Drosophila melanogaster: one gene and its partner. The protein of the gene in region 1 purifies or fractionates together with the protein of each later gene. This does not show direct contact. Each region holds a gene or a part of one and is shown on either strand. Other genes may lie near its edges. The genes, in order: B-H1 and Tim8.

Region 1 (8,150 bases):
AGCCCCTTGGATTCAGTCAGCTGGTGCATCCTTGGTCCTTGGCCGGACTTCAAGGATCGTTTGCTGGGCCTTCGCCTGCAGCGCCGCTTGCATGCGAGCACGCAATGCCAAACATGGCCATAACTGCTCGAACTCGAGTCCCCTTGGCGAGGGACGCCCCTGGTTTTGGCCAACTGGTAACTGGCAACTGGCAGTAGGTAACTGGTAGCGGGTAGCTGGTAGCTGGTAACTGGTGGCCAACGGTGGCAGTTATTCAATATATCAACTTTTGGCCTAATAAATGCACTAATTGCGGTTAAATGCATTTTGCATGCAATTATTATCATTAGGGGTTGGCTCGCACGTCGTCATAAAACCCCCTTTCCCGCCACCCCTCCCCGCACACATCGTTTGTAAATTGTTTCTGTTGGTCATTATATTAATTGCCCCGGGACACGTCCAACCTCCCCCACTCCCAACGAAATCCCGCAGAACGATTGCTCTATTCTCACATTCTGTTATTTTTTATTTAGACAAAAAAATATGCGGTTAAATGTACTTTACATTTTACAGTTACAACGTTTATAGGTCTAGGCTACCGACAAAAAAAAAATTGTTTATTCGATAATACATTTCGTGGTTAGGCTTAACTATACAAAATTATTTTGCTTTTTTGGCTGCTAGTTTTTACAACATTTAAATAAATATTTGCTTAATTTTACTTCATTATCTTATATTGAAAAAAAAAAACTCTTTAAAAAACATTTCGAATAAGTTACTAAGAGCAAATCAAATAAATTAAGCACACACACAGATTCACAGGGATATTAATATATATATACACACGCAGGCACACACACACACAAGCGGGGCTTAAGGGGAGATTCAAAAACGCGAATTCTTGTGGATATTGATCTTTGACAAATGTTTTTTTTTTTAATATGCATGTTCCATTCAAATTTTCGGTTCCATGATTTTGTTTTGAATACTGAACTCATTTGTGCTGCTTTTTATGACCTTAAACAATAATTTGTTTAGATCGTAAGTTTATAAATGCCTCCAAATATATTTTGGTTAAATTTAAACAAAATACCTTTGTACTAAAGTTTGAACCATAAAAACGATGTTGTGATATGGTGCACGAATAATGCAACTGCTGATTCATCTAAATAACCTAAATGCCATGTAAACTTTTATGTTTTATGGAACAATAAAATCATCGATCCGACTGATTTACAAAATGAGTGATATGTAACTTAAATTCGTGAAACCAACTATGTAGTTTATGTATCCCCTTGGAAATCGCACTTTTGAGACCGCCCAAACCCGATGATTAGCACACGCACACAATCGCCGCACTCCGGCGTACCGCTCACACCTGGATCTGATCCTCGTCGTCCGACTGGGAACAGCTGTCAACGGATCGTCCTGGCGGACTGCCCGGATTCAGCGTTGGACTCGGCGTCGATGGTGGCCTTGGTGGCGGCGAGGCGGATGCGGAATGGGCCGGAATCGGTTTGACCAGGCCACTGGGCGGAGATCCTCCGCCCACCGAAGGTGGTGGCGCTACCGGATGCGGTCCGCCCGGATTGGCAGCGGAGGCAGCCGCAGCGGCACTCTGATAGTAGCTGCTCAGCGAGGACAGCGAACTGGAGGCGGACAGGTGGGAGAAGGGTGCCGGACCCACGCCCACCCCGACGCCCACTCCGACGGACGGAACGCCGGCGTATAGGTTGTAGGGCAGTGGCTTCTGCATGGCGGCCGCAGCGGCCGCTTGACGGTAATAGATGTCTATGTTCGTGTGGGGCGTGGCTCCGTGGGCGGCGCCGGCAGCGGCCGCATACGGCCAGGCGCCCAGGTAAGGCGATCCGCCGTAAAGTCGCTGAAAGGCCGCGAAGTTTCCAGCCTCTGCGAGGAGTTCCAGGCCCACTGCTGTTTGGCGCTTCCATTTGGTTCTGCAAAATGATAATAGATACCAAACTTTAGTATACTTTCAATAAGAATATATGTGTATAGATTTTATTGTATTTTCTTAAGTTCATCTTTGAAAACTAATACAAATTAAAAAATCATTAAAGTTAAAACCCACCTGCGGTTTTGGTACCAAGTTTTCACCTGGCAATCGCTCAGATCCAACTTGTGGGCCAGCTCCTGGCGCTCCTGAACGCTAAGGTACTTCTGCCGCTCGAAGGACTTCTCGAGCGTCTGCAGCTGGTGATCCGTGAAGGCGGTACGCGCCTTTCGCTGCTTCTTGCTCAGACCGCTCATGTCGCTGGTGGAGCCGCTCTTGACACTGTTGCCATCGTCATCTTTACCGCCTGAAAGAAAAGAGAATTTCAATTTTAGAAATATTAAGAAACTAAGGGCAAAAAGTCCATTATGTCTAATCTAATACCACATTTGGCAAAGTAGGATATGCGTAAAACTCCAAAACTTTTTATTATCATAAAATATGAAGTTTGTTTATAATACATACTATAATATTCACTTCCCCCTTTTAAACTTAAAACGAAGGTATATTAGTTACATTTCTATAAAACTTTAAATGCCTAAAAACTAGTTTTTAACATTTGCCGAGATGGTTTACCGAAAATCACTATTTGTTGGTGATTTGGTATGCCCATAAGGCTAATTCGATTTAGATCTCTGTGCGATCTATTAAAACAGTTGCAGATACAGTTAGAGGCTCGTTTATGGCCACGCAATTGCCGCTTCCGCTCACAAAGCGGTTCGTGTGTGTGTGAGTGTAATAAAAACGTGCCGCAAAATGTCTAAACTTGCCACAAAAAGCCGCAAGAGAGATAGGCAAGCTGACCAGGCCAAAGCACCCCTTTTTGCGAAAAGTGTTCTTGGCCAGAAAAGGCCGCTTTTCCACCTTTTCTGGCCAGCCATTTAGTACATAAAATTTATGTAAATTCAACCGATGGTGGTTACCCGATAAGCGAGAGCGAGTTTTTGGCCCATGGGCACGAGGGGGTTAAGGGGTTGACGCGGGCTAAGTAAACTCTCAAGCGTTAAATTATTTAAAGCGAAAACTTGCCAAGTGCCGCATTTAAATTTGGTCTAATAAGGCCTAGAAACGGGGAAATTAACAATCTTAGCATATTTTTGTTGTTTTAAGCATATAAATTTATCAGGAAGCAGACAAACAATAATAAAATCTTTTCAAGATTTTAATTTTGCACGATCCATTAAATAAGTGGACTCAATCTTTGTTATTGATAATGAGATACCAAGAAGTCAATATTATTTTATTTATTGAAAATCCAGCTATGCCTCTAATTGAACTTTGAAATATGAAGCAAATAAAGATGCATTGCTAATTATTTCTATTAATCATCGCTAATCAAGAGCTTATTTTGCCGCCAAGGCGAAAGTTGTTTACCATATAAAACGTAAACGATAAATGATTAATGGCAGCGATAAATGAGCGATAATGCCGCAATTGAATAAAATTAATTTGCAATTAAAGAAAATTACTCACGAATGTTGGCGCCGACTTGCTGAATTATCGATTTGCGGGCGATAATTTGTGGAGCGTTAAAAAAAAGGCAAAACCAAAAATCAAGAATTATGTGCCAAATAAAATTGGGCGACAGTGTTGTTAAAAAAAAACCTAATTTGTTTTTTTTTTTACAAATTTATAATTCAAATATAAGCTTTAAAAGTTAACTTTCCTATCTGATTTTATTATTATAATTATGATTTTTCATTAAATTTATAAATAAAATCTAGTGATCAATATTCATTTTGGTTTTTTTGTAACTGAAGCTGATCGCAATTGTGAAATTCCAATGAATTGACGGATTGCCGCCTTCCCTGCCCGCTGGCTGTCATCCCAAAAGAGCTGGCCGACGCGACTACCGTTTATAAAAGTGCAATTGGCAACAGGAAATTGCGGCAATAAATGGCACAAAACAGGGCCCAGATGGAGTGGAGCGCATGAGAAGCTGGCCAAAAGCGAAGTAAAACGAACCGAGTGGCGATGAGATGAGCAAACAGACTGCAACATTTTTTCGTTTGCTGCTGCCCGGCTGCCATTGCCATGGGGCGTCTATTAAAGCGGGTTAAATGCATTTTTATAACAATTTCCACAATTAAATGATTGCGAAGGGGGCAGGTGCGTGAGATAGGAGGAGGAAGCAGAGCGAGCGGCGAAGCGGGGAACAGTGAGTGCGATGTGTGTAATTATTTGAGATTTTTTCTGCGGCTGCGGCAGTTTTAAACTGCATTTTGTTGTTGCATTTCAGGCAGATCCTCTTCTTCCGCCAACCCCCCGCCCACTGCGAGCCACGCCTCCATTCTGCCATAATAGCTCTCAGATTCGCAGGTGCATGCCCCCAAGTTTGAGGAGGGGCGAGGAGGCAAGGGGACTTTAGAAGCTTCGCAATGACGGAAACAAAGCGTGAAAAAGTATTTTTTTTTTTCAACTAAAACCACAACAAATAGAAGCAACAAGAACGAGAATGTAAAATGGTCATGCAATAATTTTTACAGTTTGTTTTGCAAAGCGACATCGACGAGGGCCGCCGCCCCACCCCCGCGCTCCACACTTTAGCCCCCATTTCAGGCGCACGCTTCAATACAAAAGACTTAGGCAACGAACTTGACTGCTGCACAACGGACTTACTTATTTTTTACCTAATTGAATTACTTTTTCAATTGGCTATGATGAAATGCGTTTCACAACAGAACCATTAACACGATTTAAAGGGGAATTTGAGTAATTTTATTTTACGACTGCCTTTACACTCACTACATTTGAGAATTGGTTAAGTGCAAATATATTTAATATCACCTAAAGGGAATATGTTACTAAAACGCAATATCAATATCATTAATAAAAAATTTGCGTTCAAATTAAAAAATATTAAACTTATCAGATCTGCATGTTTTGTGTCTAGCTTTACAAAACAATCTGGACAACTGTTTAAAAAAAAAGGCAAGTGGTCGTAGAGTTGTAAAAATATCTGATATGTACTTTATAAGCTTAGCACCAGGCAGTGATAGCTTTATTTTAAAATGACTTGGATAATTTGAATATTGAATATTTTTTATCATAAGGCTCAACATTAATCAGATTTGTTGATAATTGGTTCTATTTCGACCCAATATTTGTTTATAAAACATTGCGAACTTGTTTTGAATGAAGAAAATTCCTGCTTGAAAATGCATTTTCGAGAATTAGCGAGAATGCTATACTGACCCACCACCCTCTAATGCCGCCAACACCCCACCCCCCGCATAGTACAGAGGCTCACCTCACCATTGCTACAAACGCTGTGATCGTCCATGTTGCCGCTGTCGCAGTCCTCGTTCTCCTCGTGGTAATCGCTGCTGTCGTCCAGATCGCCGCCCGCCGGTGGCGCCAGCCCCACCCCGCCATCCACTCCCCCGTCGACGGGTGGTGCGGCTACACCAGCAGCTGCAGCGGCAGCAGCGGCGGCTGCAGCAGCAGCTGCATTGTTGCGCGCAGCAGCCGCGGCAGCAGCAGCGGCATAGTGCTGTTGCATGGCCGCCGCATATTGAGCCACGTTTAACCCATTGCCGCCGGCGGTGGGTGGAAAGTGCCCCAGCTTGCCGTGCGGATGCATTAGCGCATGCGGATGTGTGTGCGGATGCGTGGGCGGATGTGGTTGTGGGTGGTGCAGGGCAGATGGCAGCACACCGACGCCAGCAACATTGGATGCCTCACAGTTATCGCCATTAATGTTGTTGTTGTTGTTGCTGTGAGCGGGACTGCTGCCGCCGCTGGAGCCCGAATTGTTGTTGTTGTTGTGGTGGTGCAACTGCTGGTGATGCTGCTGCTGCTTGTAGAAAGCGGCCGCCGCACTGCCCGCCAGAATGTCGTTGATCATGAAGCGGGACCGATTGGGCTTACCGATGCCCGAGGCGGTGGTGGTGCTGCCGCCGGAGGACATGGTGGTGGTGCTATGGATGCTGTGAGCCACCGCCGGTGGCTGCAGGCCGTAGTGGAGGTGGTGCTGGTGGTGCTGCTGCTGCAGCGTACTGAGGTGGTGGTGCAGCTGGGGATGCGCTGCGTTTGGCTCGCTGGGCGTTTGGGTGAGTATGCTCATCGAGTCTTTCATAGGACTTAGGGGGTTTCACTCTTTCTCCCTTTTCTTGCCGATTATTTATACGAATTATATTTGCTTTCAACACTTCACTAAAAAAATTCACATTCACTGGAGTTTCCTATAGATGTCAAGTTGTCTTCTATTTGTTTGTTTTTTTGTTTTCTTGGCCTTATCTCAACTTTTCACCCAGCGACGTCGTGAGCGGCTTGGCTGCCAAAACGAGACTGAACGTTTATGAAACGCACCTGCCCGATCCGCCGCTGCCAACGCTGCTGCCGACGCCGACTGCGGCTGAGGCTCGAGCGGCGGCTGTGGCAACAATTTTGCCACTTTGTCATAGGCGGTGGTTGGGCCGCATATGCTACCGAAGGCCGGAGGGGGATGGCCAGTCGCTCGCTTTCGCTGCCTCTCGCTTCCACGGCTCTCGCCGTCTCATCGGCTGTCACTCTCTCGCGCAGCGCCATGTTGCCGGCACCGTGGTGAATCCACCACGGCGTGGTGAAATAAAGTCTCTCCCCGGTTTCTCGGTTTTTATAGCACCAAATGTCGGTCAAACGCTCTTGAGCTCTTCAGGGCCTTGAAAAAGGCCTAAAATGGCGCTACGAGGAAGTTAGTTGGATCTGAGAGATGGAGACGATGCTACTGCATTACTATGTGAAGAGTACTCTTCTTTGTGAACAAAATATTATTCCAAAAATATTAACTCTGCTTTATGTTCACTGCTTTAACAATTAGACCATTAAGACATAAATTACCAAAACTTTTCAATTCCGAAATGTCAAAACATCTGTCTTTCCCATCACATAAGAATATTATAATACTTTTATATATATTCGCTTAGAAATCTGCGAATAACGTCAAGCCAGTAAACAATTTTATCAATCATGTTTTATCATTGATTTATTAAAAATAATCTTAGTCCCATTTGGCTTGACATATTTTAAGAGCTCCTTAAATGTGTTTGCTTTATATATTAGAACTTCAATTAACACCAAATTGTTCGATTTTTGAGTCGAAAAACCTTATACGCCCGACATTTGGGCGTCGCTTTTTTCGATTCCACGCTCTCAGACAACAAGATGGCAATTAAAATTTCACGCCAATAGCCCGGTGGTTAGGCTCACCTTTGGGTTGTTTCGGTGGCCACATGTTAGTCCAGGACTAATTGCAGGAAGGGAAGCGGAGCGGGATGAACAAATGCAATTTGTCGAGAGCGGCGGTTTCCGTTTGATTGATATTGATTCCGGTCGAGGAACTGAACCAACCTGGAGAGAACCATGAGCGGAAGGGGGAAAAGGTCAGGTGACCTGCGAAGGTCATTAGTGGCGGGGAAATTAGGGCGCCGGGGGCGGGGGTAAAGCGGACTGAAGCGCGCGCTTCAATTGCGGAGCGCATTAAAATAATTAGCGTCTGCCGGAGCATCAAATGCGAGGAAAAGTCAACCGAGTCCTTCGTCCTGATGACGGTTATTGCACTTAAATGCATATAATTGCCAGCCCAGTCGTATATCCTGCGGTCTGCGGTCGATTCGAGTTCGAACTGCCAATGCCAATTGAATGCTTAAAATAATTGCACTCGGCCAGCAATGTCAGCACTGAGAGAAGTTTAGTTTAGTATATTAAGTTAAAAACGAATTGGTTATAAAATATAATATTTAAATGAAGTAAGCCCAGAATTTGGCACTGAAAAAACCAAAAAATAAAGACAAAGACATAAGACAGAGACATAGGACCGAAAGGATACCCCCTTTTTTCTCAGTGCACATGCGAGAAATTATGAAAAAGAAATGTACAAATGCAGAAACCGCAATGCGCAGTTGTCCCAATGCCACACCCCCTTTGCCCCTCGATTACTGGACAGTTGCCAGCGAACTTGGACAGTTGGCAGCGTTTTTCCGGCCTCTTCTACGAACTGGCTAACAGTTGTCCATGTGCAGCCTTCTATCGCTCGGATACCTATCCACATATCCATATATCTATCTTTCGATCTACCTATCTGCGTATCTTGCCATCTGAAAGTAGCCTTAATTGGCCTAATGTCCACTCATTGAGTAGGACTGTTTGCACTGCAAATATCCGCAAAAGAATTCTGCAT
Region 2 (3,396 bases), 6.0 Mb from region 1:
ACGGAATTGGTGTTGGTGGTGAGCGTGGACAGAGTGTTGGTCGATCCAGAACTGGCCAGCGTCGACGTCGAGTGGGCCAGACTGGTGCCGATGGGTCCGCTACCGCGGGCCACCTCCTCGTTGGGCAGATACTGAACGGTGCAGGTGAACTGTTCGGTCATATAGGTGGGCGCCAAATGGGATACCTGATGCACATAGTGCCACTTCAAACGCTCCACACTCAGCGAATTCGCTTTTAGACTGCGGAAAACCTCACGTATCTTGGAGCCCACAAAGAAGCTGTGGGCGCGCCACAAGCTCGGTGGCAAATACAGTTTGTAAAGCTTCTCGATGGAGCGCATCGCCTGCTGATCCTCCGACTGTTCCTGATCGTCGATTAGCATATCCATCACGGCCAGTCCCGTTGATTTGTCCTTGTGCTCCGGATAGCGAATCTCCGGGATTTGCTCGGTCCGCATATCGTAGCGCATTTGGCGGTAGAGGAACTTGTGGCTCCGTCCATCGATCAACTCCAGCTGGCTATCCAATTCGGGCACACGGAAACGCATCCGAAAGCAATAGACCAGCTGGCAGTTGAGTCGCTCGCCGGGCAGGCACCACGTCAGATCCAAACGCACCAGCGGCGAGGGACGTCGCGATGTCGAGTGCTCCCGTATTCCGTAGAGCAGCTGGGCAATTGGTGCAATGCCCAGCTGGCGGCACATCGTATTGCAGATCTCCTCGCACAGCATGTTGGGATGGAAACGCTCAAATTCGCCGGTGGTGAAGTTGAACACACGGATTGTGCCATCGTTGGTGTGGATGCTCTGCGAGGAGGTGCCGCTGCGCAGCGAGGAGTTCGTCAGGCTGGCGCTGTCCGCCAGCGAAGTGCGTCCGCTGCTGCTGTCGTCCATTCTATCCTCTCCCCCGTTGGCCAGGGCCATGAGAGGATTGTCGGTGAGTGGTCCCTTGTGGGCTGGGTGCTATCTGCTGCTCCTGCAAGCCCAGTTCCTTGGCTGGAGCAGTTTCCTTACGCGGCCGCACTGAAGCTAGATCATGGGAGCTTTCCTAGGAATTTGCCGCGTTCTATCCGTTTCCTCTTCTTCTTGCCAATAACAATGACCACCGCGACTGACTTGAGTTGCTATTTTTGGGCTTACTGCGAATGCTCCTGGAATCGGCGATGCTCTTACCCTTGCAGTTGCAAGGTTGCCCCAAACTCCAGCGCGAGTTCCATTGATGCCACTGGCGGGGAACCACCTGGACTGCTCCTTCTTTTAGCAAGCGCCAACTTTCCGAGCAAGAACCACTTCGCCACTTGGGCGATCCGTCAGCAAAGTAAACTGGAAATCGGAAATCACAGTGCACTGGTCCGAAATTAGACACCCGAAACGCCAGCTAGATCCCGAAATTTGTGGGGCGTTGTGGGAACAGGGCGACGGGACTGGATGGCGATTATAGACGCCTTCGATCTGAAAGTGGGCCTGCTGTCGAAACGAAGCTGCAATTGCGAAGCTACAATACAAGCCACGAATTTCAGTGAAATTCATCGGACAATTTGCACCTCACGATATCGATTGGCCGACGGCCGAGCCACTTTGTCATCGATTGTCCAATAACCTGTACTATCGCACCTTGCGAACCAGTGGTTGGCAACGCGAGGTTCTAGTTCTTTTTCGATAGTTCTCAGTAAATATAAATAACAACTTACTTTAGAAATGTATTCTTGAAAATTGTATACCCTCGTTGGCAGGAGGAGGATGCTTAAGAAAAAAAAATATACTGTTATTTGCTCTATGGCGTCTATATTCTTGCCATTTAAATATGACAACAGTGCAAACAGTGCAATATGCACGGCATTTCCAGTATCGAATAGCTTTGCTATCGAATACACATCGATTTTTGTAATTCCACAGTTCACAGCTGTCAGTGTCGTTTATATAACCTCAAACCTTAGAATATATGAAATTCCGGACGAGCCCGGTCAATTTGTAGATTGCTCACTGAAAATCACACGATGTCCGATTTTGAGAACCTTTCCGGCAATGACAAGGAGCTGCAGGAGTTCCTCTTGATTGAGAAACAGAAGGCACAGGTCAACGCGCAGGTGAGCCGGGTTCCCCCATACACATAATAACCATTCGTAATCATAACAATATGCCCTCGCACATTATATCGTCGCCAGATACACGAGTTCAACGAGATCTGCTGGGAGAAGTGCATCGGCAAGCCGAGTACCAAGCTGGACCACGCCACCGAGACGTGCCTGAGCAACTGCGTCGACCGATTCATCGACACGTCGCTGCTTATCACCCAGCGGTTCGCTCAGATGCTCCAAAAGCGAGGTGGCGGCGACCTGTAGATTTGTTCGCTTAATCGACACCGACACCGGGATCTGGGTATCCGAGTCCGTGGACGCTTCCGTCACTGTCCTACTGTTAAATCTATTTTTAAACAAAAAATTATCATGTAAGCACATTTTTTTCCGCGCTGCGTTTCGCCGCCGACATCCAAAGTATGTGGCCCGTAGTCTGCACCCAGCCCGAAATTGAAATCCGTGATTCGAGTTCCGGAATTAATATTTAATTCGGTAGCGCAACTCAATTGTTTGGTCGGCCCTACGTTAGCGTACCGAAAATAAATACATCTTTCGTTTCGTACGTTTAAAATGCATTGTGTTGTAATCCTTTGCTTGGATAGTTTTAATCTCTTCTTTTATAATGATGAAATATTGTTGATAGATGGCTTAATATTATGCAGAAAGGAAAATAGAATTGAAATTGGATCATTTCAACATACATTTAAATTTAATTAGGCTGGAAAGGGGCTTAGAATGAAATAGTAGGTGTTCCTTAAATGTTTATTAGAATAAATAAAGTTATTCCATATCGATAGTATAGTGCTTCCACTCGATAAGTACCTATCGGCAACTTTCCAATTGGAATTCATATTTACGCAACTTTGAACACACAAATGTAGCTGCCATTTCCTGTATAAAATGTAATACTAAATGTAATATTAATGCATTTCTGCTAAATCCAAAGGTAATACTTGCAATGCTTGCGGACCTATTTCCCGCGCTCGCTTTGAACGTTTGCCCAGGACTTCTGATTGGGCTGCACACGCAGCGCGCCTCTGGTCACACTGATCCCAACTAGAACTAGTGTTCCCGTGAGCAGAGCAGAAAACCGTAATATATATTCTCCAACGTGCTGCCGCTACTTATTTATATTAAACATAAAATGCCCGAAGGCTGTGCCAAACGCATGTCCTTTTTGCCAGTGAGTGTGTGTCCGTGTATAATATACATAGCAAAATATACAGTCGGTGTCGGTTTCTGTGAAGTGTAGAAGTTCAGAAGGAGAAGCGAAAAGCGTGAAAAAGGATCAAGTGAAGAGAAGCATGAAAAGTTACCTT

The links.
Region 2: the proteins of B-H1 (region 1) and Tim8 purify together in Drosophila melanogaster (affinity purification with mass spectrometry, with the first as the bait; one large-scale study listed by BioGRID). This does not show direct contact.

The regions. Positions count from the first base shown.
Region 1 is NC_004354.4:17,395,612-17,403,761, reverse strand, and holds B-H1 (BarH1), read right to left. Parts: upstream 6,285-8,150; 5' UTR 6,069-6,284; coding exon 5,246-6,068; coding exon of another isoform or gene 5,241-5,245; intron 2,298-5,240; coding exon 2,069-2,297; intron 1,935-2,068; coding exon 1,352-1,934; 3' UTR 484-1,351; downstream 1-483. UniProt on the Drosophila melanogaster protein: B-H1 and B-H2 are regulated by members of the wg signaling pathway; wg and dpp. B-H1 and B-H2 are coexpressed and functionally required in R1 and R6 receptor cells and primary pigment cells for normal eye development.
Region 2 is NC_004354.4:11,366,540-11,369,935, forward strand, and holds Tim8 (Tim8), read left to right. Parts: upstream 1-1,905; 5' UTR 1,906-1,996; coding exon 1,997-2,086; intron 2,087-2,164; coding exon 2,165-2,341; 3' UTR 2,342-2,744; downstream 2,745-3,396. Other genes in the region: hop (hopscotch), read right to left, coding at 1-923. UniProt on the Drosophila melanogaster protein: Mitochondrial intermembrane chaperone that participates in the import and insertion of some multi-pass transmembrane proteins into the mitochondrial inner membrane.